3 linked regions of the Rhinolophus ferrumequinum genome follow. The protein of the gene in region 2 interacts with the protein of the main gene of each other region in a biochemical or structural test. Links are inferred from orthologs where the notes say so. Each region holds a gene or a part of one and is shown on either strand. Other genes may lie near its edges.

Region 1 (9,794 bases), on a different chromosome or scaffold from region 2:
ACTAGCCACATATCAAGTGCTCAATAGCTCCCTGTGGTTACTGGCTACTATACAGGGCAGTACAGGTTTAGAATGTCTTGCATATTAACAATTACTTTTTAACACAAAAATGGCAATTTACAACAAGACTCTTTGAATAAAGAAAATGAACTCCATGTTACTTTTCCCATACCTTTGCTGGCAGAGATAAAAAAGAAAATTGCATATTCTGTTGTGATCAAAATTGACAGGTTTAGGTGGTCCCAATTCTGCCAACTGATCCGTTAACTATATAACCATTGAGAACTACAGTACCAAATGGGCACAACACAGGACATGGCATGTAGTAATTCAGAACGAGTATGTGAAGTAGCCCGCAGAAAACTTCTACATTTGAAACCAACGATTTTTTTTTTAATGGAGGGAGGGAGAGGCTTTTACTTTCAACCAAAAATAGAATAGTGTAATTCTAACTACAGGCCAGAATTAATTTGGCAAACATAAATAATTCAAACATACATAATTCCTGTTGCAATGAATGATTTGTAAATTACACACCAAACTCAATACAATTTATGAATCACTACAGTAAAATTTACACAATATCTTGACATGCAAATATCAATTAGTGGGTTAAGGTTCCCTCTTTAGGTGCAAATTTATACAGAAATAAACTATTAGGAAGGTAACATAAGAAACATAAAAAGAGTAAAGATTTGAAACTAAATTAGATATTTCTCTCCCTTAACAATTCTTAAGAAAAAAAAAAGTGACAGACTAAATTTAGAAATACGTGAGTTTAGATTATTATCAGTGAATTTAAATCATTTACCCACTCAACCAAGTATAACTGAAAATGAAGTAATATTGTACTATTTAAAATTTGTGACCACTCAACAAATCCACACTCCTACTGTTTGCAATACTTTCTCTGAAAATATCTAGTATTAATTACAATTCTACTTTTCAAGTAAGTCACAAGGTCAAAAACAAGTTGTTTTTTTCCAGATAGATTCAAATAAATATCTTTTTAAAGGACCAACTAAGAAAAATATAAGCATGTAACAGTTAAAATATCAAATTAGAGAGATTTGAAGACTTCTTATCTTGTTCCAATTATTAACAGCTAATGTTTAATAAAGTAGTTTTTACTCTTTATTTATTCAAAATACACAAAACAAGAAATGTTCTATATAAAAGCTATCAGAGACAGACAAGAAAAATACGTCAAACCTTACAACTTTTGATATACAAACACCTCCCAAAATAAAAGCAATGGCTGGTAAAAGAAAGAATAGAGAGATTGGCTGTAATTTAGCAGATACATTTTAGTATTTCTTAAGAAAGAGTCCCAAATTGAGAGCTGTAATGTAAGTAAATGCCCTAATGTTTTCATTTTTAGCTTTCCTTCTCATGCCCTGTTAAAATTCCACTTAGAAAGCACAGGGCATACTGGGAAACAAAAGCCTTCCATAAAAACTCATTTCAACTAAATGGGGTCCAATGCTTTATTTTAAATAATTATTCCCCTTACTGTATAGCAAGCACTTCCCTTAAAAGACATTACTGGATGGCAATCTATGGCCTTCATAATCTTCATACTCAAGCATTAAACCTTTAAATTTCGCCCCCAAAATTGTGGGCTTTGCATTTTAGTTTAACAAAACATGAAATGTGAATGTGAACAAATATAATCTTTTAATCATATCAAACACAAGTTTCATAGTCTGCAGTCATTTCGTAAATAAGAAAGGCTCTGCTGATAATTATCTGCGTGACCTCGGTCAAGTCATAACTCCCATTCACGTCTTAGTTCTTTCACCCTATTCTACACTTCTATAATTCTAAATTATAAATATTTTAATTAACAGTCATTTAACAACAGGTTTTGTTTTAATTAACCCAAAAGGTAATATACACTAAGTAGTCCATAAATAAGCACAAGTGGTTGCAGCAGAACGTTAGTAAGGTGGTTTCCATACCCACAAAATTGTTCCTAATCCATCCAGTTGGTTCCTTAGGCACAATCAGAAGCCAGGAAAAGGCTCAGCAGCTTGTTACTAACACTGGAAAAAAAAAAGCATTAAAATATCCAACTGACAGTGTATCAGACATTTCATGATAGTAAATGGCTAATACATAAAATAATATTGTCTAAACAGATCAATATTGTGAAAAAATGTAATACTTCCTTTTTCTTCTAAGTCAGATGGTTTTTGGATCCTTTAAAAAAAAAAATCTGCCCAATTCTTCTTACAATTCAAGTTGGTGTAAACTGAAACAAAATATTTTACCAGTTGACAAATGTCTCCTCAAAGAAAAAACACCATTTTTTTCCTTCCTCTTGTCTAATGACCAGCTCTTTGGAAATATAGTTTTCCTGATGATTATAATTCTATCCAATTTTTTCTTAACAACCAGTAAATAACAAAAAAACCTAAAAATGTCTACCATTATTTTCATTTTGCCCACAACTCACATTGGCTCATTTGAAACATAAATTCTAAATCAATAATCGGGCTTAACAAAATGTCCCAATTTAAGATATACACAGCTAAAACAAACATATTCAAAATCTATTTCTAGAGTGGCTTTCACTCTTCTGGTTTTCTCTTTAAAATGAGATTTACCTGACCTATTTTCATGTGTTTTTAAAACATCCAGGCACTTATCACAAACGGTATTTGCTGGTCACAAAAACATCAAAGCCGGTATCATAAATCCTGTGTGTGGGGTCATTTTCTTCATGCGTCCTAGATACCACAGTCTTTTAAAAATCTAAATATAGATTTATTTTTTTTTTAAAAAAAAGTCTTCCAATTTCTCTAATTATATACTGCTTTCAATGCCAATGTTATACTTTCACATACTATTTACAAAGTAAGAACATGGGGTGGGGGAAGAGCCTGAAATGTCAATCATACAAAGACAAAGCGTTTTCTATCATTTCTTGGCTTCTTCTCCCCTCAATTCGTTTCAACAATTCAAAAATATTACTTAAACAAAATGTAGGTATACCATCGAAACTTAAGAAATAAATACTCACTAAAATAGTACTTGGGAAAAGAAATAAAAATATATACGAAAACGGGTAATACAGGGGGAAAAAAAATCTAGTTGCCAGAATGTGTGTGTCAACTCAAAACAATTTTGCACCGTTTCTCTAGACGCCGGTGGAAAATAAAATAGCAACAACAATGGAAGACCCGTACTCTTTCCGACGGGATGAGGGGTAGGGAGAGAACTGCGCACCCAACAACCAGAAGAACAAAGCAACAGCCTCGGCTTTAAGATGCGCTGGGGTGTTGGAGGCTCAAAGGGTATTTAGAGATCTCTTAATTGTTCGGATGCTTTAATAACCATCAAAACGACTCTGATACGCAGCGCAGGGTTTAACTAAGACCAAGTGGTGGAACTACTCTTCGTATAAGGCAAGACCCAGACCCTGAGCAGGGCGTAGGGGAGAAGGAAGAGAAAGAAGCAGTCAAAGACACTCCGGAAAAAGACAAAATGCAGGGACTGTACACCCTGGATGAGATTTAAACCAAGGCCCGGATAGAGGCCTCCACAAGGGAAATAGGAAGCAGGATACCCCCCAAAACCATCGCCGCCCCTAAGTGTTGAGGCCAGAAGGTTCCCGGGTAGAGGCCTGACACCACGGCCGAGAGGAGAAGAGATGGATCTGGCTGCCACCAAAGGTAGCGACGAGGACCCCGGCGGAAGAGGCTGCGCAGTAATGGCCGCTGCTCCGCCTCTCGCACCCTGACCGTGACCAGCTCCGGGCCGTCGCCCAGGACAGGGGCTGCGGCGGTAGCCGGCAACGCAGAGCCCGTCACAGTCTTCTTGCCTGCGACACCAGCCACAGTGGGGGCGGCGGGAAGGGCTGAGCGGTCCCATCCCATCCCGCCCCGGGGCGGACAACCGCGGCCGGGCAGGCCCAAGGGCGTCCACCAACGTACCGGCCCCTGGCCCCGCCGCCGCCCCTCTCAGGCCCAGAACGCAGGGCTGACCCGGAGCGCGTTGTGGCAGGAGGTGACACCGAGGGCCATCGCTCCTCTTCCCGAGTCAGGAACCAGGAGTGACTGACTTCCACCCTGCCCCCCGCGAGGGCTTCGCCCCGACTCCCACCTCTCTGGCCACAGCCGCGGTGGCCTCGCAGTCTTTTCTCGTCGGCCTCGGAACCCGCAGCGGCCGGGGACGCGCGCGGCCGTCACGTGACCGCCCGTCGTGTCGCGGGGGCGGGGCCGCGCGGGGCGGAAGCAGCACCGCGCACCCGGGAGCTCTCGCTAGCCCCTCCCTACCCACTCTTCCCCTCCCGCTCGCTGCCGTTAAATCGTGGTGCCGGTTGCCTGCCTTTTCCTGCCTTTGGGGAGCTATAGTTTCGTTACCTGGATTCTTCTAACTGCTTTATATTTTGCTTTAGTTGTAACTGGGTATAAAGACTGAAAGTACGGGTCCCACAGAGAGAGAAAGAGATTTGGGGCCAAGGAAGTAAGACACGCACAGGACCAGCAGATGGGGCTGCTCAGAAACCCAGCTTCCAGACCTAGCTGGATTTGGGGTTGAAGAGCTCTTGGCGAAGTACTCCTTGTTCTCTTTCAAAAAAAGGTCCTCTAGGACGTTCCAGTTTATTCACCGTCTGGATGGTTGAGTAATTCAATCGAAAAAAAAAAAAGAATCTTAATTTTTGTTTTGGGCCATTTGTCTTAGGCATAGGAAGCTGGAGGAAGAGATTAATCAGTATAAGAATCTAAAACTAAAGAAAATGGCTTATTTTGTTGCATGCCTGTGGTTTTAAACATCAAAATCTAGGCAGTATCCTCCATTTCATTTCAGCATATACATTATCTTTTTCGAAACTGACTGTATTTTCTTCATTTGTTGTAAAATGAACAGGGCGGAAAAGCACGCTTTTGTCTTTTAAAAGAGTATATGTGAGTAAATTTCAACATTCCAGGCCAGTATCTTTTTACTGGCAATGCTATTGCATTTGAGATCTCATTAACTGTTTATTCAAGGCTGGAAGGTTTCAGTGTTCTTATATATAGAAATGTGTACATTTTCTTTTATTCCTCTGAAATCAACGTGTGTGTGTGTGTGTGTGTGTGTGTGTGTGTCTATATATATATATATAGAGAGAGAGATGTACTAGGTCAGACAATTAAGTTCTCAAACTCATCCTAGAAAAAGTGCTGCATTCCTCATTGCTGAATATCACTACGGTCATCTTTAAAGTACTCCCCTTGGGAAGTTATGCCCAGTGACACCAGGGCATAATCCACCCTTCAAAGCAATTTTGGAACTCTTTTTCTGGAATGCCCATCAGAGTTGTCGTCCTATTACCCTTGATGTCCTGAATGTCATCAAAATGTCTTTCTTTAAATATTTCCTTTATCTTTGGGTAAAGAAAGAAGTCATTGGGGGTCAGAGGTGTTCCAATGCAGTTATTTGTCTACTTGCTAAAATCTCCCTCACAGACAGCGCCATGTGACCTGGTGCATTGTCGAGATGCAAGAGCCTTGAATTGTTGGTGAAAAGTTTAGGTCGTCTGACTTTTTCACGCAGCCTTTTCAGCACTTCCAAATAGTAAACTTGGTTAACTGTCCAGTTTGTATGAATTCATAATGAATAATCCCTCTGGTATCAAAAAAGGTTTGCAACATCATTGCAACAAATTCTCGGACTTAATTGTCAGACCCTTCATGTCTGTGTGTGTGTGTGTGTGTGTGTGTGTACACACACATATAAATGTAACCAATTTTTGAAGAATGCTATCTAGCTCAGTGATGATTTTACTCAGGTAAGTAAAAGCAACATTTTTATAAATTCTTTAAATGTGGTATAAAATTCTTTAAATTCTTTAAATATTGAATAATTATTCAATTATATAAATATTGAATAAATATTTATAAATTCTTTAAATATTGAACCATATATTCCCCATCTTTAAACTTAATCCCCTATCTTTATGCTCTCCTTAGCCATCCAGTTTTACCCCACTATCTTACACACCCCATGAAGATACTACCAAAAATTTGATACGTACTTGAAGATTCCAGCTCTACGAGATAATACTACTATTAACTAACAATGTGCAAGGCATTGTTTTAAGTGCTTTACATGTATGAGCTCATAATAAACAGTGAGGTAGGTACTGTTGTTATTCCCATTTTACAGAAATAGGCTCAGCTGGGATTTAAATCCAGACAGGGACTGTAAGAATTCACCTTGTTCAATTCTTCATTTTATCAATTAATAAATAGGTATAACAAATTAAATGACTTGCTTATAATCTTTTCTTGTTGAAGATAGAACCGGGATCAGAACACAGGTATGCTTCCTGATCCATAAATACTTTTAATTTAGGAAAAGTTATTCACAGTTCTTCAGTTGTTCTAGGCACGTATTTTAGAAGTTTCACTAAAATAATATAATTTAGATTATGTTTATCTACCTATCCATCTGAAAGCAAGAAATGAATTAATCAACAGGAATCCCACTAAAATGCCCTACCAGGCTTCCAACCCTCTCAGCCACACCCATAATCGTGGTCATTTCAATAAATAGCTCCATCTTTCCTTATCCAAACCCATTTTTAATTCCTTTTGTTTATGTCCAGTATCCATTTTGCAAATAATCTGTTGGCTCTTCCTTCAAAACACACCCAGAATCTAACTATTGACCACCTCTATTACAAACAACAGCATCTCTTGTTTGGATTATTGCCATAGCCCAAAGCCTGGTTGTCTTGCTTCTGTCCTCCCTTTCCTTTGAGTTTATTCCCAATACAGAGGCCAAAGTAAACTTATTAAAAAGGAAGTCAGATTACACGACCCCTCTACTCAAAGTCTCCCATGGCTTCCCAAAACAAAGTAAAAACCAAAGTCCTTAATAGCTTTAAGACTCCCCTTATTACCTCCTTGACCTCACAAACTGCTCACTCAGCTTAGTGATCCAAGAACACTCTACACAAGGTCTCAACCTCAGTTTTTGCAGTTTCCTGTGCTTAGAACTTTCTTCGCCATCATGGCTTCCTCCCTCTGTTTGTGCTCAAAAGTCATCTTTTCTCTCAGTCCTCTACTTGCCACCCTATTTTAAATTATGACCTCTCCTAGTCCAGATATTTCTTATTCCTCCCTTTACTTTTTCTCTCTAATACTTATCGAAATGTAAGGGATCATTTAGTTTGCTTATTCATCTTATATATCTCTCTACACTAGAACACAAATCACTCAAGGGCAGGGATTTGTATTCTATTTTGTATCCCAACTGCCAAGAATAGCGCCTGACACATTTAGACAAGCTCCCTCTGAATATGTGCACACACATTTATATACCAAATAATATATAAATGAAGAAAAACTTCTTGTTATGTGTCAAGGCATACTACTGCATATATAACTTCTTGTTATATATGCAGTAGTATGCACCCCACCTCCGCCAGCCACCTGAAAGATACTGATGAGTTTTTATCTATGAATAATATAGGACAGCACTTCTCAACATTGTCAGAAGTGTTTTTAAAGTAATTGGTTTCAATAATTTTTAAAATGCCCAAACTTTCAAATGATTTACTTAAAGAAATCAGAGCCTAAAAAATTTAAGGTATGTCTGTAATAATGTTACTGTCACTGGCATTCTATTTTGCTTCACTGAATCAAAGATAAAGGAGTTGCAACAGACTGCTAGGAATTGCTCATCTTTCATAACCTAATGTCTGTTTCCCGCAAGTGTATAAAATGCTTTCATGAATACCACACATCTATCTCCAGGCACCCCTTTTCTCTGTATTCTCTCAACACTCAAAAATGTTTGATGTTATTTATTTTGCTTAATGATCAAAATATTCTTTTTGTTTTGTTAATATCTGGAGACATCCATGAAAATGTGCATGAGAAAATCATACGTGGTATAGTGGAAAATGTACTGAAAACCATTGATACATGTCATCTAGGGCAGTGCTTTTCAAAATGTTTTCTAGTGTTCTCTGGGGTCCTTGAGATCCTTTCAGAGGGTCCCAGACGTGAAGATTATTTCAATAATACTATTAAGATGCTAGCTGCCTAATACACTCTCATTCTCTCTCTCCAGCATACAGTGGAGTTTACCTAAGGCTACATGATATGTGATGTAGAAACATATTGAATGTAGATGCAGATATTAGAATTTGCCTATGTTTCTTAAGCCAGGCATTAAAGAGATTTGCAAAGCATAAAATAATGTCGTTTTTCTCACTCAGTTAAGTTTGTTTTGGAAAATAGTTATTTTTCAGCAAACACTTATGTTAACGCTTAATGGGCTTATTATTTAAAAATGAGTTAATAAATATTTTAAACAGTTCTCAGTTTAGTTTCTAATTTGGTAACTATTGATAGATTAACACTCATATTATATAACAGTTCTTTTGAGTCTTCTGTAATCTTTAAGAGTATAAGGGGTCCCAAGACCAAAAAGTTTGAGAACACTGGTCTGGGGCTATTTTGTGTACCAACCCTAAGCTAGATTTCTTCCCACATGCCAGCAATCATCTGATAACTGTGGACACAACTTTCTCATATGTCTGGAAACAGAACAAACCAGATTCAGGAATGTGCCAGTCATTATAGCTAGCAGATGAATAGAAAAAGCCAAGGGGAAGTTTTGGAAAGCAAACTTTTCCATTTCAGTTGAAGAGCTTGCTCCAAGAGCTGATACATACCTTGGTCTCTTGTACCATTTGGCGGTGTTCTACTTACAGTAATCAAATAATACATACTTTTCTAGTAGAATTCCTTTGTAAATAACAGTATAGTAGACAGTTTTTCCTTTACCTAATGTGATAATTAATGCTCTGACTAGTTCTCAGTGTTCTTACTGCAGCCCCAGAAGTTACAACTAAATTATAACAATTGTATGCCTGGGAAATAGCTCAACACAAAACAGTTATGAGTCAGTTTTACAATTTAGTTGTAGAGTTAAGCATGTCTTTCCTAACTCTGGTTGTATATATGCATGATATATATATTGGTTTTCAGATGTCTTATATTGACAATATTAGCTATTAGTTTATCTACAAAGTCCATGCTTGTTTCATTGTGTGATATGACCTCATTGAGTGTAGTATTGAAAAATAAGAATGAACGTTCTATTTTATTTTTTTGACAGAATCATTTGTTATTTTAAAGCTAGGTTATTATTTTAATAAAAATGACACTTAAACAGTGTACCCTATTATTACATAAAGGAAATAACTTACAGTCGTAGAGGCAGCAAGCGTGTTTTCAATGCCACATTTTCCTCAAAGTGGTTGGAATTTAACAAATCAATGTGAAACAGTTTTGTAATTATGCATATTTGGGCTTTTGGTTGTTTATTTATGGAATTATATGCATATCAATTATCAGTTTAATACAATTATAACCTAGAAACTTGAAATATTTTCATAGCAGTGTATCAGTCAGTGTCCTATTTAGAAAACAGAAGACACTGTATTTCTAAGGGAATGTAATGCAGTGAATTGTTTGCAAAAGTGTTATAAAATAGGAGGAGCTAAAAAGGGGGAGACAAGGAGAGCCTGATATCAGTAACTGCAGAAAGTCACTAGCTCCTAAAGTTGGAGGAGAAAAGTATTTACTCGTGTTCCCACAACCAATTCACATGCTGCTGGAGCACTGCAATAGGAAGCCAGGAGCCCATAGGCTTACAGAGGCTGCCAGAATCTAGGAACGCATAGCCACCAGCAGTCACCTATACCTGCCACTGCCAGAGTCAGGAACAAGAAAAATATCACCTCCTCTCTCCCACCTTCTATTTGCATATGACTGCCTTCTATTGGT
Region 2 (10,385 bases):
TAAAATCAGTACAAGAGTCCCTATTACCTGCTCCAACAGACAGCATGCAGTACTTTTCCTATCACTCTGAGTTACACACTTTGAGGGGTTTTGTTATTATTGTTCTTGTTTAGTCTTCCGCACTAGACTGTAAGCTCCATAATGGTAATGACTAGCTGTCATTTCAAAATTGTGTCAATATTTTTAACACCTGATCTACAATAAGTAATAAAATGTTTGTGGAAAACTGAACTAGAAATTTTAAGCTTTTCCCTCCAAGGGATTGTACCAATTTCCTATCTTTAAAACAGCTATTCCAGGACAACTGAATGACTGGCATTCTAACCAACTGATAATCAACTGAGAATTACTTTTAACTATGCAGCCTATCCATGGTGGAGAAGACTAGACTTAACAAAGCTTTAACTCTATGGACACAAATGTAGGGTATGGTAAACTGACTACAGGGTGTTACTATGTTTTTACACCATGGAGAGTTTTATACTGTGTTTGTTTTGTCTGTTTTCCAGAAATGAAGTAAAAAAATTTTTTCTACATAAACCAGTTCAAGGTTTGGTTCTCATAACTACAGTGTAATTATAGGACTGTTTGTCTTCTAGCTTATCTGGGTACACATAAAACTTTAAAACAGAATAAAAAGTAACTATTGTGACAGAAGAAGTGATTTGGGAAACAAGTCTATTTTATGTGTGGCTAATCATACATAAGTACATTATTACACAAATAAGTATAACTATCATTTGTGATTGCTTACAATGCAGTATGCTGAGGAATAACAAGATTTGTGAAACAATACCGTGTTTCCCTAAAAATAAGACCTAACCAGAAAATAAGCCCTAGCATGATTTTTCAGGATGATATCCCCTGAACATAAGCCCTAATGCATCTTTTGGAGCAAACCTTAAAATAAGACCTGATCTTATTTTGGGGGAAACACGGTATGTTAAAATAGTCAACTTTGGAAAAGTATGCAAAAATAAACAACTTCAAGAATGGATCCAGAGGGGAAAGGAGGTCAAATACATGGTGATGGAAGGAGAACTGACTCTGAGTAGTCAACACACAATACAATATATAGATAATGTATTATAGAAATGTACACTTGAAACCTATATAATTTTACTAAATAATGTCACCCCAGTAAATGTAATAAAAAAAAGAATGGATCCAGTGATCTAACAAATGATTTCCTGTATTTCACATATTGCTGATCATGAGCCATTAAGGAGTCACAAACAGCATTTGTAAAAAATGAAATGGAATAGGATATAAATATCAGAATGCAACATACACGTATGTAATGAGGGAAAGTATTGTTTCCTGAAATTTTTTTTGATTCAGTTTGACGTGTATGTGACAATGTAAAATATGTTTCTAAGTATAGACTGCAATTAAAAAAGCAAACAACAAAAAAAAAGTGTGAATGCTACTCTTGGAGTATATGCCCCCAAGTAGAAACTCTCCATCACAATTATAAAAATGAAAAGTGACATTAACACAGGTATAGGTTATAATAGCTTAAGCTTGATTTCACAAGCTCTAAAATCAAACTATTTTGAGTTAAAATACAGGTTTCACTACTTCTATGAATTTGGATTTATTTTAAGAGTATGTGTTTCACTGTTGTCACCTATAAAATGAGGATAGTACAGGGGTGTCCAAACTTTTTTCACCGTTTTTCACCAAGGGCCATATGCGGTAAAATACACAAACAGCCGGGCCACTCACTCGAGGTGAAGTATGTATTGCCTCACCTGGTTTATTTAAGTCAACTAAATATATTTTTGGAATTTGCTGCGGGCCAATTAGCAATGGATTGTGGGCCACAGTTGGCCTGCGGGCCACAGTTTGGACACCCCTGGGATAGTATCTTCCAAGTTGTGGCAAAAATGAATAATACACAGAGTAAGTTCTTAACATATGTTTTAACAAATTAAAGGCATGATGTATATTAGAAACATACCAAGAAACTTAACAGAAGGTAACTTCTGCTTGTTATCTGGGATGTTTGTGTGTGGGTGGTGCTTTTACATTTTGTATATTTTTGTCCTATATGAATTTTATAATGTATATATAACATGTACGTTTCTAATGTAATGTTTCTGATGTACATAACATTATAACCTTTAAGAAACATCAACAGTAGCTATCCTGGCAGTGAGATCATGTCCTTTGTTTTTGTTTCCTATTTCTGTATTTTATAAAAACATATTAGGTGTTTTTAAAATAAAATAGTCAATGACTGGCTTTAAAAAAAAGTGTGTGCTCCAGGATTTAGGAATTAGCACTTGGAGAACTTATGTGCCAAATGCGTGACTAAATCAGGGTTTAGGAATTAGCACTTTTTGGGAGAACTTATGTGCCAAATGCTTCTCAGTAAACCCTCACACAACCTTAGTAACATAATTTTTGCCATGGGAAAACTGAGGCAACTGACATGAGGTAAACTGTCTGTTAAACAACTAACAAATACCAGTGTCCTGAACTTCAAAGCCTATATTTTTCTACTACCACATCATGCATCCAAATATTCTTCTCCAGTTATTTCATAGAGGCATATTTTGATCTACCCAGTGAAGAATGTAAACTCCTTGAAAAAAGGGAAAACTCACAAACTTCACTCATGTCTTTCACTGGCTTAGAGACTGCTACAGATCCTTAAACATTTGAGTTACATTCAATTTCTTGTGGTCTAGACCGTCCTCATGGGACATATCCTGATCGTAAAAACGAAATAAAGGAGCAAACAAACAGCAAAACTACTCTCTAAGACTGCCCAAATCTAACTTTATTCTTACACACTTGGAGCTGAAAAAGTTTAAGTACACCCATATGCCGAGACTCCAACTAAAGGGATTTGGGTGGGAATGAGTACAAGTATCACAGATGGATCCCCACATTCCCCTACCACGCCCCCCCATCCCACCCCACCCACCCGGGTCACCAGGCACTATCTAAGAAAGGAACCTCTATCTAGTCTTCCGGCGAGGTGTTAAAGAACCATAACCACGCCCACATTTTGTTCCATTACAATAACTTTTCTTTCCCTGCCGGGACCCCTGTCCCCAACGCCGAAACCCTTAATAAATAATTCAAAAGTCACTGACCTGCAGCGAAGTGCAGGGGAGAAGACTTCCGGCCGGCCATGTCCTTAGCATTCACGTTTGCCGCGTCCACCAGCCTCTTTACCCGGGACACGTCCCCATTGCGACAGGCTTCCAACAGTTCTCGTAGGGCCCCGCTCACTGCTGGAACCCCTTGCCCAGGTCCCGCTGCCCCAGGCCCCAGTGTTGCTGTGGTGCTAACTCCGGCCGCCTCGGGGCTCTCCGCCAAGCTCGATCCAGGGGAGGATGGAGAGGAAGATGAGGAAGAAGTCGGGGAAGAAGAGGACGACGGTGAATTGTTACTACTACCGCCGGCTGGGTTGGGAGCGACCCCAACGGCAGACGAAGCAGAAACCGCCGGGACCACGGGAGCGGTGGTGACAGTACAGATTGTGCTGGTGGTATTGCAACAGCTGGTACTGTCAACCGGGTCCGGGGATCGGGGCCTGTCGGGCGGATCCCGACTGCCATCCCCCTCCGGCAGCGCTAGGCCGTGCCGCGGGGAGGCGAAGGGGACCAGGCCACCCGCCGTGGGGGAGGCTGGGGTGGTCCCGGGGGCCAGGCCGGGGCTGAGTGGTGGGGGAGGTGGCGGCGGCGGCGCCGAAGCCCCTGGGGCGGGCTGGAGCTGTTGTTGATGATGGTGGTGATGATGCTGAGAGCGACGCGACGCCGCCATCTTCGGACTCCCCCAGCACTGTCACTGCGGCAACGGCCCCACCCCCCGCCCTCACTTCCGACTGCTGGACCAATTAACATCCAGCGCACAGGAAATGATGCTAGTGGAGTGGGAGGGGTCAAAGAGAAGGAGGGAAGTATTGGGAACTCAGAGAACAGCCACGGGAAGGGGGCGTGGCCTTGTGACTGAGGGGCGGGCTTTGTGACGCTTTGGCGGGCCCGCCCGGGAGATTTGAAAGGTGAACCAGCCTGTGCCTAAATGGGAAACTTTCCTTGCCTCTCTCCCTTTCAGCTTACTTACCTAGCCCTACTCAGTTCTGTTGCTAAATCTCCTTCAGTCTTCCTTATCTTGCCCCAGAGCCTGCTATTCAGGTGTAACTCAGTACAAGAAGAGAATGTGTCGTTTTTCATCTAACAAGTGTCCTCGACTGAAAAAGGGAATAGGATCAACCTCACAGAATTGTTAGCGGGATTAAATGAGCTAACATATACAAAGTGCTCTTGTCGTTAATCAAACGTAACTATAATTATCCCATTGGTAATTTTTTCCCATGAAGTCCTTCCCCCACCCTTCCCCAGTTATTCCCTTGGTCTCTATATCTCTTATTTCTAAATTTTCTCACTCTATGTACTTTGTTAGTACTCCATTCTAAAATGTGGTTCAGATTACCAGGACTGGAATTCAAGCTCTGCCAGGTACTAGCTGTTAAATTTGGGCAAGCTGTTGAACCACTCTGTCTCTCAGGTTCCCCTCAGCAAAATCCAATTAATAGTTAAAAAAATATATTATCTATTAAAATTATGATTTTTCTATAACCTATGTATTTTTATTTCTCACCTTAAACTCAACTCAAATAATTGTGAATGTATTCCTTTCTTTTTAATTCTTTTAGGCTGAACCTCTCCTCTCCTCCATTCCTTTCACCCCTCTTCCCTCCCCCTCCCAAACTAAGGTAAAAACCTGTCTGTTATCTATCACTCATCTTCAGATGCCACTCTAAAGCAACTACTTTTTCTCTTTCCTTTGCCTGTACCTACTTCCTTTTGTCTGCCATCAAAAGAGATGTACATTGCATGGGATAATCTCACTAAGGTCTTCATTTCCGGCCTCCTATCCAGTCGTAAACTAGGCTTGTGGAACTTTAGACAAACAACATTATTCCAATAGAGTGGACCCAGATGGAGATTCTGTTTCAAGAAAAAAACCCACCAAGATTTAGGTGGGTCAAGTAGAAGTTTAGCATTGCAGAATATTAATCCAGGTGATAAATTTTTTTACATGCTATTAAATATAATTAGTGTGGTGTTAATATTCCCATCTAATTGAAGAGGTAAATTTATTTAGGACTACCATTGACATACAACAATGTCAGGAACATAATTAATATTATGAGTGACATTCTCATCTAATCTAGAGTTATAGATTATAACTAACATTATCCATCTGTTTCATAAATGTGTGCCATTGTTCACAAATTGACAAATGTGTGACTGGATAGGAAAACCATCAGTGAAACTAAAATCTGTCCACAACACACATTCTCCTGGTTTTGAATCTTAAATTAATGCACAGCATAGGATAGCATTGAGAAGTGGGGGTGAATCAATGTAATACATTAGACATCAATAACTCTTTCTGCCCCCTTGACTATGGCCTTTTCTCCCTGAATGGAAGACATAAGGACTATCTCACCTGATCCCCTGTTGGCCAATTACTGATATAGATCAATTACTCATAGAACACAATAAAAAGTAGTAATGTTCGCCCTAATTTAAAGTGTGTCTAGTATGTCTGTTTGTCAGTATAAAGTAAATAAGAAAATTTCTGCTGGAGAGAAAAGGTTGAATTGCCTGAAACAGCTCTACTGACTGGTAAACTGCCTAAAAATACATTCGATCAATTGGAAATTTCTTTTATCCCCTCCAGTGAAAGAAGTAAAGGTACTTAACATTAAGTATTTATAACGTTTAGATTTATAACAACTAATATTGAGCTCTAAACACAAAAGGGCATATATCATTACCTAATCTTTTACAGCAAAATACAATTCCCTGAGGAATGAACTATACCCCAGTGAGGAAAGCAAAGTGTAGAGTCAAACAAACCTGGGTTGGAATCATCTGTGAAGATTACTAGCTGGCTAATCTTGGTAGGTATGCTTCAGCTCTGTTACTCTAAAATTCTGTTTTTATTGTCATGAGGATTAAAAGACCTAGGTGTTTTCTAAGCACTCCCTGAATGTTATTTTCATTCTCTTATGTGGCATACATAAAGTTTTAATAGGAACTCATAGTCACTATTGATAGCTATCGCCTCACAACTTCATTTATGAAAAAGATAGTGACTGGGAATAAATATCCACCATTTTACATGTCACACAAATCTTAAGCAAAGAAAGATCAGGTTTAATTGTCTCCTCATCTGAAAATTCAAGATTCTATACAAGCCAATATCTCCAAGACTTGTTGAGGATCATACTTTTGTAGTTTCTTACCATTTTCAAAAATGTTTTCAGAAAAATCATGTCCAAGTGGTATAAAAATGTGAGCGCATAGCACTCTCTTAAGTCATATTGTTGACACAAAAGAAAGAGCCACCAACTCAAAGGGTATTCACTCACCTGGACTGTGCTGTGATGTTTTATTTTTTTCCCCCATGGGGATCATATGGACACACTTTCTAAGTTACACAATCATAAGCTTGCGCAGTCTCCAAATTTCAGTTAGACTTGGTGTGTTTATTCCATCCATATACTTCTCATTGGAGAAGTATAACTTGGATCTGCCCCAGATCCAAGTTCACTGGTAGTATCTCAGATCTATTAAGTTTCCCAAGCCATGATGAATGTTGAACCCCAAGACTGCCTGAGGGGTCATGTACTACCACATACTGACCATAGGAAAACTCTTACCCCTGGTGAAAATTGGAGCAAGGACTTCTGCGAGCAGAGACCACCGGACTTACTGGCTGGGATGGGAATAAGTGGCAGCCAAGCAGTGAGAGGTACCAGTCAATACCTGAACACATAGTGTGTGCCTTCTACCTACTGTCTTCTCTTGCTTTCTTGCAGTTGTTTGGCTTGAAGGAAATAAACGAGTGAAATCTGAGCTAAGTGGTGTTTGTGTGCAATTTCTCTTGGTTTTGCCTACTCCTTCATATCTTGTCTTTGTTTTGATGGTGTTACTCAGAAAACACAGTGAGTAATCTAGAAGTCATTGAACCTTTCTGTAAACCCATCAGCAAGGTGGGGATATTAAGAGTTGTGAGACATAAATGAGTTAATATGTGCCAAGTGCTTAGAACAGTTTCTGGCACATGATAAATGCTATGTAACTGTTAGCTGTTGCTATTGCTGAGAACTGGGGAAGGCCTCTGGTATGAGATGTGAATAGGTTACCTGGGAGACATGACTAGTTTTGCCTGCCTGCCCAATAACAAGCAGGTTTGTTTTCACCCAGTAATGTTGACGTCCAACCTCTCGTACCTACTTCTTTTGCGTTACAGTGCCATAAAGGAATGTCTATCAAGCTTGGAAACTGAAAGGGCCTCTTATATTTGGTGAAATGCAAATTGTCCCTTCTGGTTGTATCAGGGTGTGGGGGAGGTGGAGAGTCTGCAAAGGAGGACACCTCAGCCCGGAAGTATGCAAGTTTATCCCTCAAAAGATTCTGCAATACCACAGTGTTGAGAAACCACTGTGGCTTTTGTGTGGGAGACCAGCACAGCTGCCAAGACCACCTCAAGAGAAACCAAACTCTGCCGTAGTTCCTCAGGTCCCTGGGACCCAGGATGTTTGCAGAAGAAATCTCCCACGGAAGATGAGCTTACCACCATAAATCACCACATATGTGAGGAGGGCCAAAAACATAAGGAAAAAAGCAAACCCAACAAATGAAAGGCACTATAATGGAGGAAATATAATAGAGCAATCCAAAAGAAATTTTAATATCCATATTTGGAGCTTGTAGGCCAAATAATGACACCCGAAAGATATCCATGTTTTAATCCCAGGACTCTGTGACTATGTTACCTTCCATGGAAAAATAGATTTAAGCTTGTGGATAGAATTAAGGTTGCTAATCAACTGAACTTAAAATAGGGAGATTTAACTGGGTTATGTGGGTGGGTCTCATGGAATCACAGGTGTTCCTAAAAGGAAAAAATGGAGACAGAAAAGGAGATTGCACTGATACCATGTGAGGAAGACGCAGCCATTGCTGGCGTTGAAGATGAGGGAAGGGAACCACAAGCCAAGAAATGGACAGCCTCTAGCAGGTGAAAAAAGTAAGGAAACAGATTTTCCCTCAAAGCCCTGGAAAGGAATGCAGCCCTGCCAACATCTTGGTTTGAGGCCAATGAGACCCATGCCAGATTTATGACTGCAAAACTGTAAAATATTAAATTTGTGTTATTTTTAAGCTATGAAATTTATGATACAGCAGCAATAGAAAATTAATAGAGGACTTCTTTGGAAACTGAGATGGCATGAAGCCCCCACCCCCCAGCCTAGGTTTCCACATGGCAATAGACTAAAGTCCCACAGTTGCTGCCACTTGGAATTGCCACCATTCCTTTTGCTAATTTATATCTATCCGGCTTTACTCAGTTAAGGACCTGGTCCCTATAGGCAGAGGCATATTTTCTGTGTGCCAGGTGCCATACCATGTAGAGATTCCCCAAATGAATTAAACCTGGTCCTAAATGTTGAGTGTTTGTGGTCTAGTGGGAAAGATAGATTCATAGACAGATAATGTCAACACAATGTTGTGAGTGCTCCAAGGGCAGTGCATACAGGATACGCTGGGAACACAAAGCAGTGTGTAGCCCAGCCCTGGGTAAGCGTACAAGGAGGCCATGACCCCATGTCTCAAACAGTGAGATCCTAGCTTCAAACAGCAGCAGTATCACTATCACAGAGTACATTCAATGGGAAAAATGAAAGTATATTTTTGTGCTGATAAGAATGTAATAGAAAGAGGGAAATTTCATGATGCAGGAGAGAAAGGAACATGACTGGGGCAATGTGTTCTTAGGTAGGTGACAGCGTTGCGATCTAAAGGACAATCACTAACTGTTCATCCTTCGTATCAAGGAAAAAGACAGAGTATGTGGGCATAGATGCAATAAATGACTATATATCGTGGTGCAAGATTGAGAAAGACTCTTGATTGCTTCTACTTTCTCAGTGAAATAGAAAACAAACAAAGGGAGATTTTCTGTTTCTCCCTGCATCTCCTTGGCCCAAATTGGGTCACGTGCTCGTTTCTAAATTAATTGCTGTTGCCAGGAGAACTCCATGCACTGACTGACTTGGGCTTGTATTTCCAAATCAACCAACTCTAAGGGAGTTGGGCTTGAACTGATCATGACCCACTCCAGGGATCAATTCCCCAAGTGACGTGGCTAATGTTTAATGGGAAGAGGAAGAATGGATTCTGGGAAGTCACACATATGTCCTCCTCACTTTCCACAATCACAGTTCCCAGCCCAGGCTGACCTCAAAGCCCTAAGCAGAGTATATTCGTTTCCTAGTGAGTCTATTCAAAATTACCACAAATTTAGTAGTTTAAAACAACACAAATTTATTCTCTTAGCATTCTGAGGTGAGAAGTTTACAATCAGTTTCACTGGGATAAAGTCAAGGTGTCAATAGTGCTGGTTTCTTCAGGGGGCTGTGAGGAGAGTATCTGTTTACTTGACTTTTTCAGCTTCTAGCAGCTGCCTATCATCCTTGACTTGTGAGCTCTCCCTCCATCTTCAAAGTACATCACTCCAATCTCTGCTTGATCATTACAGCACCTTTTATCTGGTTCTGACTCCTCTTGCTTCACTCTTAAAAGAACCATTACATCTGGGTTATTACATCTGACTCACTCAGATAATCCAAGACAAATCTCCCCATCTCAAAATCCTTAACTTAATCACATCTACAAAGTCCCTTTTGCCATATAAGGTAACATTCGTGGGTTCTGGATCGAGGATGTAGAAATATTTGGGGCAGGAGGGCATTATTCAGCCTACTGCAATGAGAATGCTCAACCACTCCTTGTATAAAGAGCAGAGAGAGGCCTGCCCTAATGGGCAGCCTTGGGTTAGTTTACAACATGGAAGGAGAAGGACAAGACAAAGCATCATATTCAGTCAGAGAACTGTAATGGGGTTAACACTGTCCTACTTCAGGGGTCTATCAGCTTCCTGGCCTCATGTGATCATTTAGTGTCAGAGATCTTGATTGCCTTTGTCTTCCACAAGACATCACACTGGCCCATCACATTGATGAGAGTATGCTAATTGGACCTAAGATATTTGGACCTAATAAGATAATTTGCATGCGAGATGGTGGGAAATAAATCTGACAAAAATTCAGGGACCCTCTGCCTCAGTAAAATTTCTAGGGGTCCAGTGGTGTGGGGCATGTCAAAATATCCCTTCTAAGGTGAAGGATAAGTTGTTATATCTGGCCCCTTCCATAATCAAAAAAGGGGCACACTACCTAATGGTCTTTTTGGATTTTGGAGGAGATGTATCCTCCATGTGGAACTCCAGCCTGTTTACCGAGTGACCCAAAAAGCTGCTGGTTTTGAATTGGGTCCAGAACAAGAGAA
Region 3 (10,266 bases), on a different chromosome or scaffold from region 2:
CTACCTTCCCATATCAAGCAGTCACCCCACCATCTCCCCAATCCTGTCCAGTCCTCCTACATGACACTCTACTATCCTACCACCATAGTAAGCTTTTTATCCTGGCTGAGTCTCCCCACTGTGCCTCCTGGCTGCCCCTCCCCCACTACACACCCAGGCCACCTCCCACTGTCATCCGGTGTGTGATCAGGAATGCAAACTTACTATTGATCTAATCCACACAGAAGTACATCTGCTACAGGGAAAAAAACAAGACCAGAAACCTACCTCTATATAAGGCATTCCAAAGCAAAATAAAAGACCTTGGAATTACTCATGGCCACGGCCCTTCTAATAGAATCCTCTATCACCCACTCATTTGGCTCAGCCTAAGAAAGGAATCTAGACAGGAGCCAGGAGGCCTGGGTTCAAACAGCCACGTGCACGCATATCTCCTCTGGGTCCCCATTTCCTCCTCTTAGAACAGGTGCCTTTATCCACATCATCTGGAAGGTTGTTCCTACCTGTGAGAGATCTATGACCTCAAACAGTTCTGAAGAGTCTCACCAGGAACTGAGAACCTTTCAAACTCATCCTGCATGTCCTCAACACTCTTCCCTCCCTCACTCCCATCCCACCTCAACAGTCATCACTCGCCCACCCCCTTCAAGACAGAATGGGGGTTCAACCTCTGCCCCTCCCACCGTCCTCCCAGCCACCCTGCTCCACCCTGCACCCATAGGCACCTGGCTCAGGGCCAGCAGATACCAGCTCCTCCTCCATCTCCTGGGGTGGTGGGGAAGCCATGGCTGTGCCTTCCCGGAGAGCAGACACTTTCATCACATGTGGCAGAACCTGCATGAGAATTGAGAAGCAGAGGAGTGTGAGCTGGGGTCTAAGCCCAGGAAGAGAGAGAGGAAAAGGCAAGAGAGTTGGGCGCTGGCAGTAAGCGTGGTCGAGGGAAGTCTCCTACTCCTAGCTGAGGCAGAGTGTGGGACAGGAAGAGGGAACTTCAGAGGGGATGAGGGAGGTCGAGGGAGGTCCCCAGCTGCCATATCCTCAACTCTTCCCAGATTCCTCTCCAGCTCTGGCCCCCGAACCCCAAAGTCCTGAAGTTTCAGGTAGCTACCTATTCTTTCCTCCTCTGGTGAGCTAAGATACCCCACTTACCGTTCCCAGGGTACCCCTTGGGTCCAGCAGCCCCACCTGAGGTATATACTCAGGGGCAGAGCAAGAGGGCCCCAAAGTCTTAGTCTTTCAGTGAATCACCTCATGGGAGACGGGAAAAACCCGCTCCTCCCCAACCTGGGGCTCCGCCCCACTGCCAGCCTCCCCCTTTCCGCTCACCCTCCTTCCCTCCCTCCCTCCCTCCCTCCTGCAGCTGGGAGTGGTTCCCTCTTTCCCTCTTCCCCCCTCCCCCCTCCTCCTTCCATATCCCTGCCCAACTCCCGCTTCCCTCAGAGCTGTCTCATCCAAACACGGAAAAATAAGGAATAAGAAGTAAACATCTGGAATACATTTTTTTCTTTAATTTCTCAATCGCTTTGGCTTCAGCTTGGAATTTGATGAGGTAAAGCCAGGGCCTAGTCCTGTTGCCATAGCAATGGCCTCCCACTGGATTTCCAGAGCGGAGCCAAGAGGAAGGAGGAGCCGGCCCAGGCCTGGGCTGGGAGAATGGGACAAGGCTTGAGGCTTGAGAACATCCGGGAGTGGGGTGGCTTGGGGGAAAACACTCCGGGGTTCCCCCTTCTAGGACAGTGAGGATGGGACAGCCACAGCCTATGGGCAGCCTTCACCAGCCTAGGGTTGGCCTGAGGAGTTTTGAGGGAGCACAAGAAATTTTAAACCAAGTGACACAGCCCTATGGTAGAAACCGAATAAGCCAGTACCAGGAACAAGCTTCAGGTTCTGATATGCGAGGATTCAATATTGGGTAGGTCTACCACTTTCTAGCTGTGTGCCCTTAGGCACAGCACTTACTTCTCCAAGCCTCAGTTTCCCTATGTGACAAATGGAGTTACTGAGACTGTTGGGAGGTTTATGGCAGTTGATGCATGCAAACTGCTTAGCATAACGCCCAGCACATAATAAGTGCCCAATAAATATTGGCAATTATTAGTACAATTCCATTCGGTGTCACCAATGAGCTAAAATCCTTGGTAACCACCACCTCCTCTCCCCAGACCATTCCCTCACTCACACAGGTCCCAGTTATGTCACCTTCAGACACTCCACCACCTCCTTAGTTCTCATCCTGGCTGCTGGAGCACCATCCCACCCACAACACCCGCACCCCAGGCTTTGCAGCCTGGGGGACAAAGTACTGCCCCTCTTGTCACAAAGGAAGAAGGACATTTCCTATCACCTGGTATGCACAGAGCCCTTGAGGACAACCCAATGGGCACTGCCTTCCTCAAAGTCACCCACTGCAGCTGGTCTGGGAAAACAGCACCAACTCCTAAGAAAGGCCTTCTGATGCCCAACATTTGCAAAACTCGCCCACCCCTCTCCTCTGACCCTGCCCCAAGTTGCTTCAAAGATGGCAGAGAGTATGAAGAGCTAAGTAGAGAGAAACCCAGGACCATCAATTCCCTTGGTCAACCACCTTCCACAGAGGACTGCTCACTGTGGGTGGGTAAGTAACTAACTGCACAGCCAGCCCAAGAGTGCATGGGGGAAGGGCACATGATAGAAAAAATAAAATTAAAACACAAGATTGTTTCCTTGTCCTTGAACATTATCACAAGGGACATGGTGTAGGTGGTTAGAAATGCGGACAAACTGGCCCAGAACTGAAAAACTCTTTCACCTGGGAGCCTGATGGGCACCTCTGCAGTATGAGGGGGTGCAGCAATGAAGTGGGGGCTCAGCTTCCCCAACTGAGGAGGGGCCACAGCAGCTCCGAGGCCCCAGCCAGGAAACGCAGGTGATCAAGGCCGTTGCCAAAAGCTGCAGAATCACAGCGGCTCTGAGCACTCCCTGCAACCTCCAGGAGTCAGGGGGGGCCTATCTGACCCCCAGGAGCAAAGGCTGCCACAAGGGCTGCGGAGAGGCCAGGCAGCTCCTGCCCGGGACAGGGGCCCCGAGAGGCATCCGCGCAGGCGGGGTCGCCTCTACGGTCCCTGGGATCTCCAGCGGATCCAGGGCCAGAGAGGTAGGCAGGGGCAGCACGTAAACTGCTGGAAGAGGGAGGGCCAACGGGAAGACGGAACAGCCTGGGGCGAGGGGCCTTCTGGAGAGGCCCAGTGGGGAGCTCTGGACACAGAGGGGATGGCAGCAGCCGAAGAAGAGGAGGAGAGGGTGGAGGAGGAGAAGGGGGTGGCAGAACGGGAGGACCTGTACGCAGAATGTGAAGCAGCCGGCGAACAGACGGGGGACTGAGGACGCAGACCGAGTGGGGGCGGACTGGGGTGGCTGGGGGCGTGCCGAGGGAGCCGAGGGAGGGGGCTAGCGCGGGCCCTGGGGAAGGGGGAGGCAGGGGTCCCTCCAGCAGTTCCGCCCGCCCCCGGCCCCGCCTCAAGCCCTCGCCCCCTCCCCCCTTTCTTCTGGATCGGCCAGCACGAGCTCCAGACCGTGCACCTTCCGGCCTCGCGCACATGCGCCAGCTCCCGCGTGTCCCCGGTTTCCCCCGCGCCCCCGGCCCCTGCAAACTTTCCCGTTCACCCCCCTTCCACCTTAACCCGAGGTCCCGGCTGAAAAGCACCCACTCCCTCCATGCTTCTCCCCCGCCCCAATCCCGGACCCCGCCCCCTCCTTCGCCCTCCTGCCCGCCCCCGCGCACTCACGCGCTCCCCCGGGATCCGGCTCCGCTCGGCTCGGGCTCGGCACCCCGACGCCAGTCTCCGCCACCGCCGCCGCTGCTGCCGCCGTCACCGGGGACCAAGCCAGAGCGGGCCCCGGCGGGGCCCCGCCCTCAGCTCCGCCCCAGCTCCGCCCAGGCCCACACCCCTAGGGCGCTTCATGAATATCCATGAGACAGTGAAAACCCGGAGTGGGAAGCCCGTGCAGAACTCGCCTGACCGTATGCAAATAGCAGCAGCCCAGGTACTCAATTATTCATGAATCTTGCAAATGAGGGGCCCGCCCCAGCCTCAGACCCGGGTAAAACTGACGCAATTCAGCCGCTAAAAACGCTGGGGCAAAATGGCCACCGAGACGACTGCCTAGAGAGGAGACTTAAGCTGACGGCCCGATTCTCAGGCCCAACGGCCTGAACTGATCGCAGTACCATAGAGTCGCGGCGAGAAAGAAGGTAACCCTTGGCCGACTGCGGAGGCTTTCTGTGGCAAGCACCTTAGAGCCTACCCAACGTGGCCACCCCACGTGTGTAAATTCAGATTTGGAGCCACAGTGAGGAAGACTGGAAGCTCTATTTCCCTCACTACTCCTTATTTATCTCGTTATGCTCCCTTCCCAGATATAAATTCTTCCTGACCTCAAAATTTGATATACCCTTTTTCATATAAAAACAAAAGCTACCTCCACCCCCACACCACTCATCGTCCCAACTCTCCAGGATCAGGTTTCCAGTGTCTTGGTTGCAGAGAGGCCAGTCAATCCTGATTCCATTATCTAAAGCCTTGAAGACCCTTGACTCATAGGTGATTAAGGATGGAGCCAGTAGCTGCCTCTCCTTAGCTTGGCTAATGGAGTGGAGCTGTGAGAGAGACTTCCTAATCAGATCAGCTCTCATTTCTAGACTCTCAGGTGGCCCATCCCTGCTGAAGAGGGTGAAAACCAATGCTTGTCCAGCCGGGAACAGAACAGGATGTACCTGGAGACTTGCTTCCCAGCTGGCCAGCAAGGCCTGCCCAGTCACAGCAGTGTGGTAAACACCACCAAGAAAAGTGGGCGCAATACAACAGGGCTAGAGAGGAGGCATAAGGACATGGTTTCCAAAGTCAGTTCCCTTTATTAAATGATTTTCACAGAACCAGAAATACAAAATTAAAGTAGAAATTGGCCCCCGTTAGGAGCTACAGGCCTGACCTCACACGACCCCAGCTGCAGCAACTTGAACAGGACAAGCAGCAGCTATATCCCTAAGGTCGGGAAAGTAGGGCGAGGATTTGGAACCTGCACTGCCCTGCCTCCCACCCAATCTCTCCCCCAGTTATGAAGAGGCATCTTCGTGAAGCAGCAACCCAGGAAGACGCCTCCCCTGCTGTCCCAGCCAAGTGCACACCACCAGAAGAGCTTGTTCAGATGGCACAGAATCCAAAGACTACACTTCATATGAGAAACTGGTACCAAAACATGAGTGGGGAGTCGGGTGGGACAGGGCAAGCCCAAGGAGAGAGTGTTTTCCTCCTCTCTACTCATCAGATCCTGACGGCGAGTCTTCTGAGCTGGGGGGAGTACTGGCTAATTCCTCTTCTTCAGAGTCCTGAAAATGAAACGTCTCTTTAGGGGAAAGGTGGAGAGTCCCGGCTGCCCTCCCAGCCACTTGTCAGTGGTGAAGGGCCCCTAATTCCCTACCGTTCCCTAACGTCCAACACTAGTCTTCAGAACCCCAGAATTCCACCTATCCATTCCATCCCATTACTGCTATGGACCAACCACAATCCCTGGTGCAGAAGCACCTGCTGCCACCCCCCATACCAATTCAGATGCCCTTCACCCTTCCAAGCCCCACAACCCCCAAACTCCTGCCACACCTCACTCTGCCTTCTCTTCTTTTTGCTCTTGTTCTCTCCTGAAGAGCTCTCGTCACTGGACACAAACTCTTTGCTCTTGAAACTCTCACTCAGCTGCCTTGACGACGACTTGGATGACGAGCCCCTAGAGGGCACTGACTTCTTTTCCATCTTTGCCTTTACTTTTTTCTTCTTCTTTGACTTGTCCCTATTATTAGCAAGAGGGAAAAGGTTTCCCCATCATCAAGGTCAAACCTCCCCCAGCTTTACCAGGGCCTTTCCCAGTCCCAGCCACACTGCCCATCTCGTGTCATCAGCCAGCCATGTCAGCCCAAGTGCCCCAAGAGAGAGCATCATAAGTGAAGAACAAGAAGAATCAGGCCTCACAGCCTGGTTATATGCAAAACTTAACTTGACATCTCTTGCTTTATCGTAAAAATTCGTATGAATTAGGCACCATAGTAACATATATATTTTTAGCTACCCCGTACCTTCAAATAAAATTGACCCTCTAGGAAAATGGGCCATATTTATCCAGCGACTTCAGAAACTCTCTAGCACAGTACCCATACTGGGCAACTGCCTACCCAGGTTTGAGAAGCACTGTCCTACTGAAGTCAGAAGCATCTCTGTTATATTTAACTTCCCAGTTCTCAACTTGGACCTGCAAAAAATATCTGTCAAAAAAGCAGTTACTGGGACATTCTGTTCCCAACACTCACCTCTTAGAAGACTCACCCCGGCCCCCTTCATATTCTTTCATGGCTTTTTCATATTCCCTCCTGGCATCCTCAGCCTTGCGATCCCACTCCTGTCCCACACACACAGGGGTCGGGGGGTGGGGAAGAGAAGAATTAGATTGTTCCCTGACACAGGCAAAACCTATACAGAAGTTCCACCAGGGCCCTCCACCCCCTCTACCAGTTACAAGATTTACCACCCCTCGTCTCTGCTGGTACTCACCTCCTTCTTCTCTTTGGACATCCCCTTCCAGATCTCGCCTGCTTTCTTGGAAAGATCCGTGATGCTGATGCCCGGATGGTCTGACTTGATCTTCTCTCGGCTGGCGTTGAGCCACAGCATGTAGGCAGACATGGGCCTCTTGGGGGCATTGGGGTCTTTGCCCTTCTTTACCTACACAAGAAAGAACCCAAAGGCCTTCAGCACTATAGCCCACATTCTCCCTCACATTCTCCCAAAGAAATTACTTGGATCCCCTACCTAGGGACAAAACAGAGCAAGGACTAAACTGCATCAAGCTGCCTAGGAGCTCCCTAAGGGCAGGGACCACGTCTTCCTCCCCTCTGCACGCCAGTACCTAGCTCATTAGGGGCCCCTTTCTTTTGGGCTCCCAGGACAAAAGAAGCCCGTCTCCTAGGTCAGAACTCCCAGAAGCTAATTATCTCAAGGACTAGAGAGAAATATTTGCAAGAAGCTACTCCTCAAGGCCCTAATCACTGGCTACAAAAAGCAGCCCCAACCCACAGGCCCTAAGGGTGGTGGACGGGAGAACAGGGAGCAGCACCCCAGCACCCTCCCATTCAGGAGAAGCAGCACCTCCACAGGCTTCTTGCGGCTCTTGCGATCCTTGGCTATCTTGGCCTTTTTAAGCTGTTTCCGTTTCTTCTCATCTCGGTCACTGTCACCCTCATTACTGGAGGAGCTGGCAGAGGCGTTGCTATCAAACCTGCCAAGGAGAGTGGGGCTTAGACTCACTCAGGGACAGAGGATGGCACCCCATGGTCTCAAAGCAGGAAAGGAGTCCAAAGACACCCACCCAGAAATGGGGGCGGGAGGACCACAGGGCCGCCTCCACCAGCATCCCCAACTCTTCCTGCCCTTCGCTGAGGTGGCTTCAACCATGCCCTCTCCAGACCCAGCTATAGCAATGGGTTATTTGGTCAATCAGTCAAAGAAAAGCAAACAGACTTCATCTGCTCCCCTTGGTCACAGCCTAACCCAAGGCCTCCTCCATCCCCATGCTCCCGGGAACGGGGACAGAAACGGTCTCAGCAACATGTCCAAGTCCACCTCACGACTCCGGGTTACTCCTCTTACTCTACCCTTAGTCTCTCTGATCAAGAGACAGTTACTATAAAAAGTGGGAAAAAACCAACTCCACTCCAACCCAGCCTGCACTGATGTTGTCACAGTCCTACCGGACACACACAGGACTCCTCAGAAAACAGAACTGCCCAAACCACACGGTGCTCAATGGTTCTCCCTTTCATAAGCCTTTAACTCACAGACTCACTATGAACAAGCACGTGGCGCCCAGAAGTAGTGGACTCCTATAGATTTTCTTCTTTTTCCTGCCCAACATTCATTCTGAGTTCTTCTGGATTCAGAGTCCCAACTTTCTGTTGGGAACCACCACGCCCCATGCAGAAGGGGCCAACCCCACCACAGGCCGTGGGCACACGGCCTAGTTCTAGCCCCTCAGAGCGTATCGTCATAACTCACACTTGGGAAGGGCCACGTAACCACGCTGCTTACTGCTGCTCTGAGCGCAGAAGCATTCCTGGGTGTTAAACGAGTAGGATTAAGCCTGCCCAGAGCTTCTGAGGGTCATCTGGCACTGCATGGGGCAAACCTACCAGAAAATAGGGAAATCAGAAGAAAGAGAAAGATTCCCCACAGCTGCTGAGTGCCTGATCCAGGTGCCTGAAGCCAGTCACACCCCTGGACTCTCGTTACATGAGCCTACAAAATCCCCTTTTAAGCTACAGTCCGTTCAAGTCCTATTTCTGACACTGGCTATCAAGAGTCTTGATCAACACAGCACGGGGGCACTATTGTCGTTTTACAGTTGAAAACGCTGAGATTCAATGATGGACCCAAGGACTCCGGCAAGTTAAGTGGGGCAGTGGCTCTCATCCCCAGTCTCTCCCCACTATACTTCTCTGGCTTCACAACATGCCGTGCACTTACAAAGTGCTTGACGATTTGATTTTTGAAGCATTTCCATCTATCACCTCACTGGAGGTCACTTTTCCACCCTGGGTCAGTAGTAATGCTGGGACACAAAAGATGTCCAGAAATCTCTGGTCCTTTAAGCTCAGAGGCCATCACGTCACCCCCATAAGGTGGAACCAAAACTCACTCCTCTGCCAAGTCTTCCTCCTCTTCACCTGGGTTAAACGACTCATCTGGAAAACGACACAGAAGGCATCAGTTGTGTGCCATGGAAACCCTGCCCCCTCACCCAGATACCCAGACCTGGACCGTCTGACCACCCCATGCCCGGGCACGGCCGAGGCGAGCCCACCGGTTTCCTCTCCTGAGTCATCGCTGCTGTCATTGGCGTTCTCTTCCCGGATCTTGCCCTCCTCCTTCATCCGCTCCAAGTAGGCATCATGCTGATCTTCATCCGAGTCGGCATATTCGTCGTAGCTTGGGTTCATGCCCTGGCCGCCAGGGGAGAGGACAGTGAGGGCCGACTGGCCCTGCTGCCAGTACCCCTCCCTGCACGCTCGGGAGCACTGCCCCAAGCCTGTGAGTTCACATCAGAGCAGCAACTCCCAGAAGACCTGGGGCTGGATTGTCCACACACAGCCAACGTGCAGGGCCTTCGCCCGACCACTTCCTGCCAACTGGGTTAGTCCAAGCCCCTCCCTCCCTCTCCCAGCCCCACTGGGGGCTTCTCAGGGACTGCAGAAACTGAGCTAAGGTCATGCTGAGGAAACCTGTACCAGGAGGGGGTAAAGGTCACACGCACCTCTTTTTTCTATAAGGGTAAGAAGAGAAGAGAGAATGAAAAAGCTGGAAATAATCCCTGCCCCTTTCCCCACTACAGAAGGACCGGCAGAGGCTCATCCTTTCCACACACAGAGGTACCTCTTTCAATCCCCGGTTTTTGATGTTGAGTTTTTTTGCGTTGACAAAATCAAACAGCTTCCCATACTCCTCCCTGTGGGGGGAGACGCACCGTGTTACCAGACAGGCAGGGCCACCAAAGGGAGGACAGACCACACGTTGTTCTGACACCCATGGGCTGGGACAGACTGTGGGGCCTGGAGCTCTTGACCACATTATCCACCCCAACAGCTCAAAGACACTCTCGGAGAACAGCAGTAAAGAGTCAGACACTACTCTTGAAAGACGGACCTGCATGGCTCTCAAGAGGTCTGGGAAAGAAAAGGTGGGGAGGGGTGTGCCCTGGTTATCACACATGCACAAAGCAAGAGGACGATATCCGGGGAGGGGACTTTTCATCCTTTTACTCGTTAGTATTTCATACTTCACAGGGTTATGAGGATTAAGCGTGAAGATGTTTGTAAAACGTTAGCCCACAGTGAGCACTCGATAAACATTAGCGGCTGTGTTCCCGGGCAGCAAGCTCATTCCAGGAAGAGAGACAGATAGCATTTCCATCATGGGGGCAGTGGAGGAGGAGAAGGGCTAGCACTGTACACAGAGCTTCCGTAATATGGAAAACAATTTTAAGCACAGAAAACAGCAACGGAGACGCTTCCAAAGGCTGAGCACCAAGGACAACCAAATCCCAGGGACGCAAAAGAAAAATTCTGCTCAAACTCAAAGGCTTGAAATCAGAGATGAGTCACAGGCCTGGAGAGGACCCCAGGCCGGGCCAGGCCTCCCAGTCAGAACCAAGATGCCCAGGAAGTGACCGGCAGAGGTTCTCAGCTCT

Evidence for each region.
Region 1: the proteins of TNKS (region 2) and RNF146 form a complex in vitro, tested with the Homo sapiens proteins (3 studies listed by BioGRID and IntAct, with this or other methods). The link is inferred for Rhinolophus ferrumequinum from reciprocal best matches to the Homo sapiens genes TNKS and RNF146.
Region 3: the proteins of TNKS (region 2) and TNKS1BP1 form a complex in vitro, tested with the Homo sapiens proteins (2 studies listed by BioGRID). The link is inferred for Rhinolophus ferrumequinum from reciprocal best matches to the Homo sapiens genes TNKS and TNKS1BP1.

Annotation. Positions count from the first base shown.
Region 1 is NC_046286.1:75,587,016-75,596,809, reverse strand, and holds the start of RNF146 (E3 ubiquitin-protein ligase RNF146), read right to left. Parts: upstream 4,221-9,794; 5' UTR 4,108-4,220; intron 4,071-4,107; exon of another isoform or gene 3,939-4,070; intron 1,988-3,938; exon of another isoform or gene 1,962-1,987; intron 1-1,961. UniProt on the Homo sapiens protein: E3 ubiquitin-protein ligase that specifically binds poly-ADP-ribosylated (PARsylated) proteins and mediates their ubiquitination and subsequent degradation. May regulate many important biological processes, such as cell survival and DNA damage response.
Region 2 is NC_046287.1:68,250,574-68,260,958, forward strand, and holds the start of TNKS (poly [ADP-ribose] polymerase tankyrase-1), read right to left. Parts: upstream 3,812-10,385; 5' UTR 3,781-3,811; coding exon 3,108-3,780; intron 1-3,107.
Region 3 is NC_046294.1:11,762,417-11,772,682, reverse strand, and holds the start of TNKS1BP1 (182 kDa tankyrase-1-binding protein), read right to left. Parts: upstream 3,919-10,266; 5' UTR 3,765-3,918; intron 1,288-3,764; exon of another isoform or gene 1,150-1,287; intron 835-1,149; 5' UTR 820-834; coding exon 726-819; intron 1-725. Other genes in the region: FACT complex subunit SSRP1, read right to left, coding at 5,294-5,365, 5,637-5,823, 6,338-6,426, 6,579-6,749, 7,173-7,302, 8,719-8,764, 8,884-9,022, 9,453-9,525.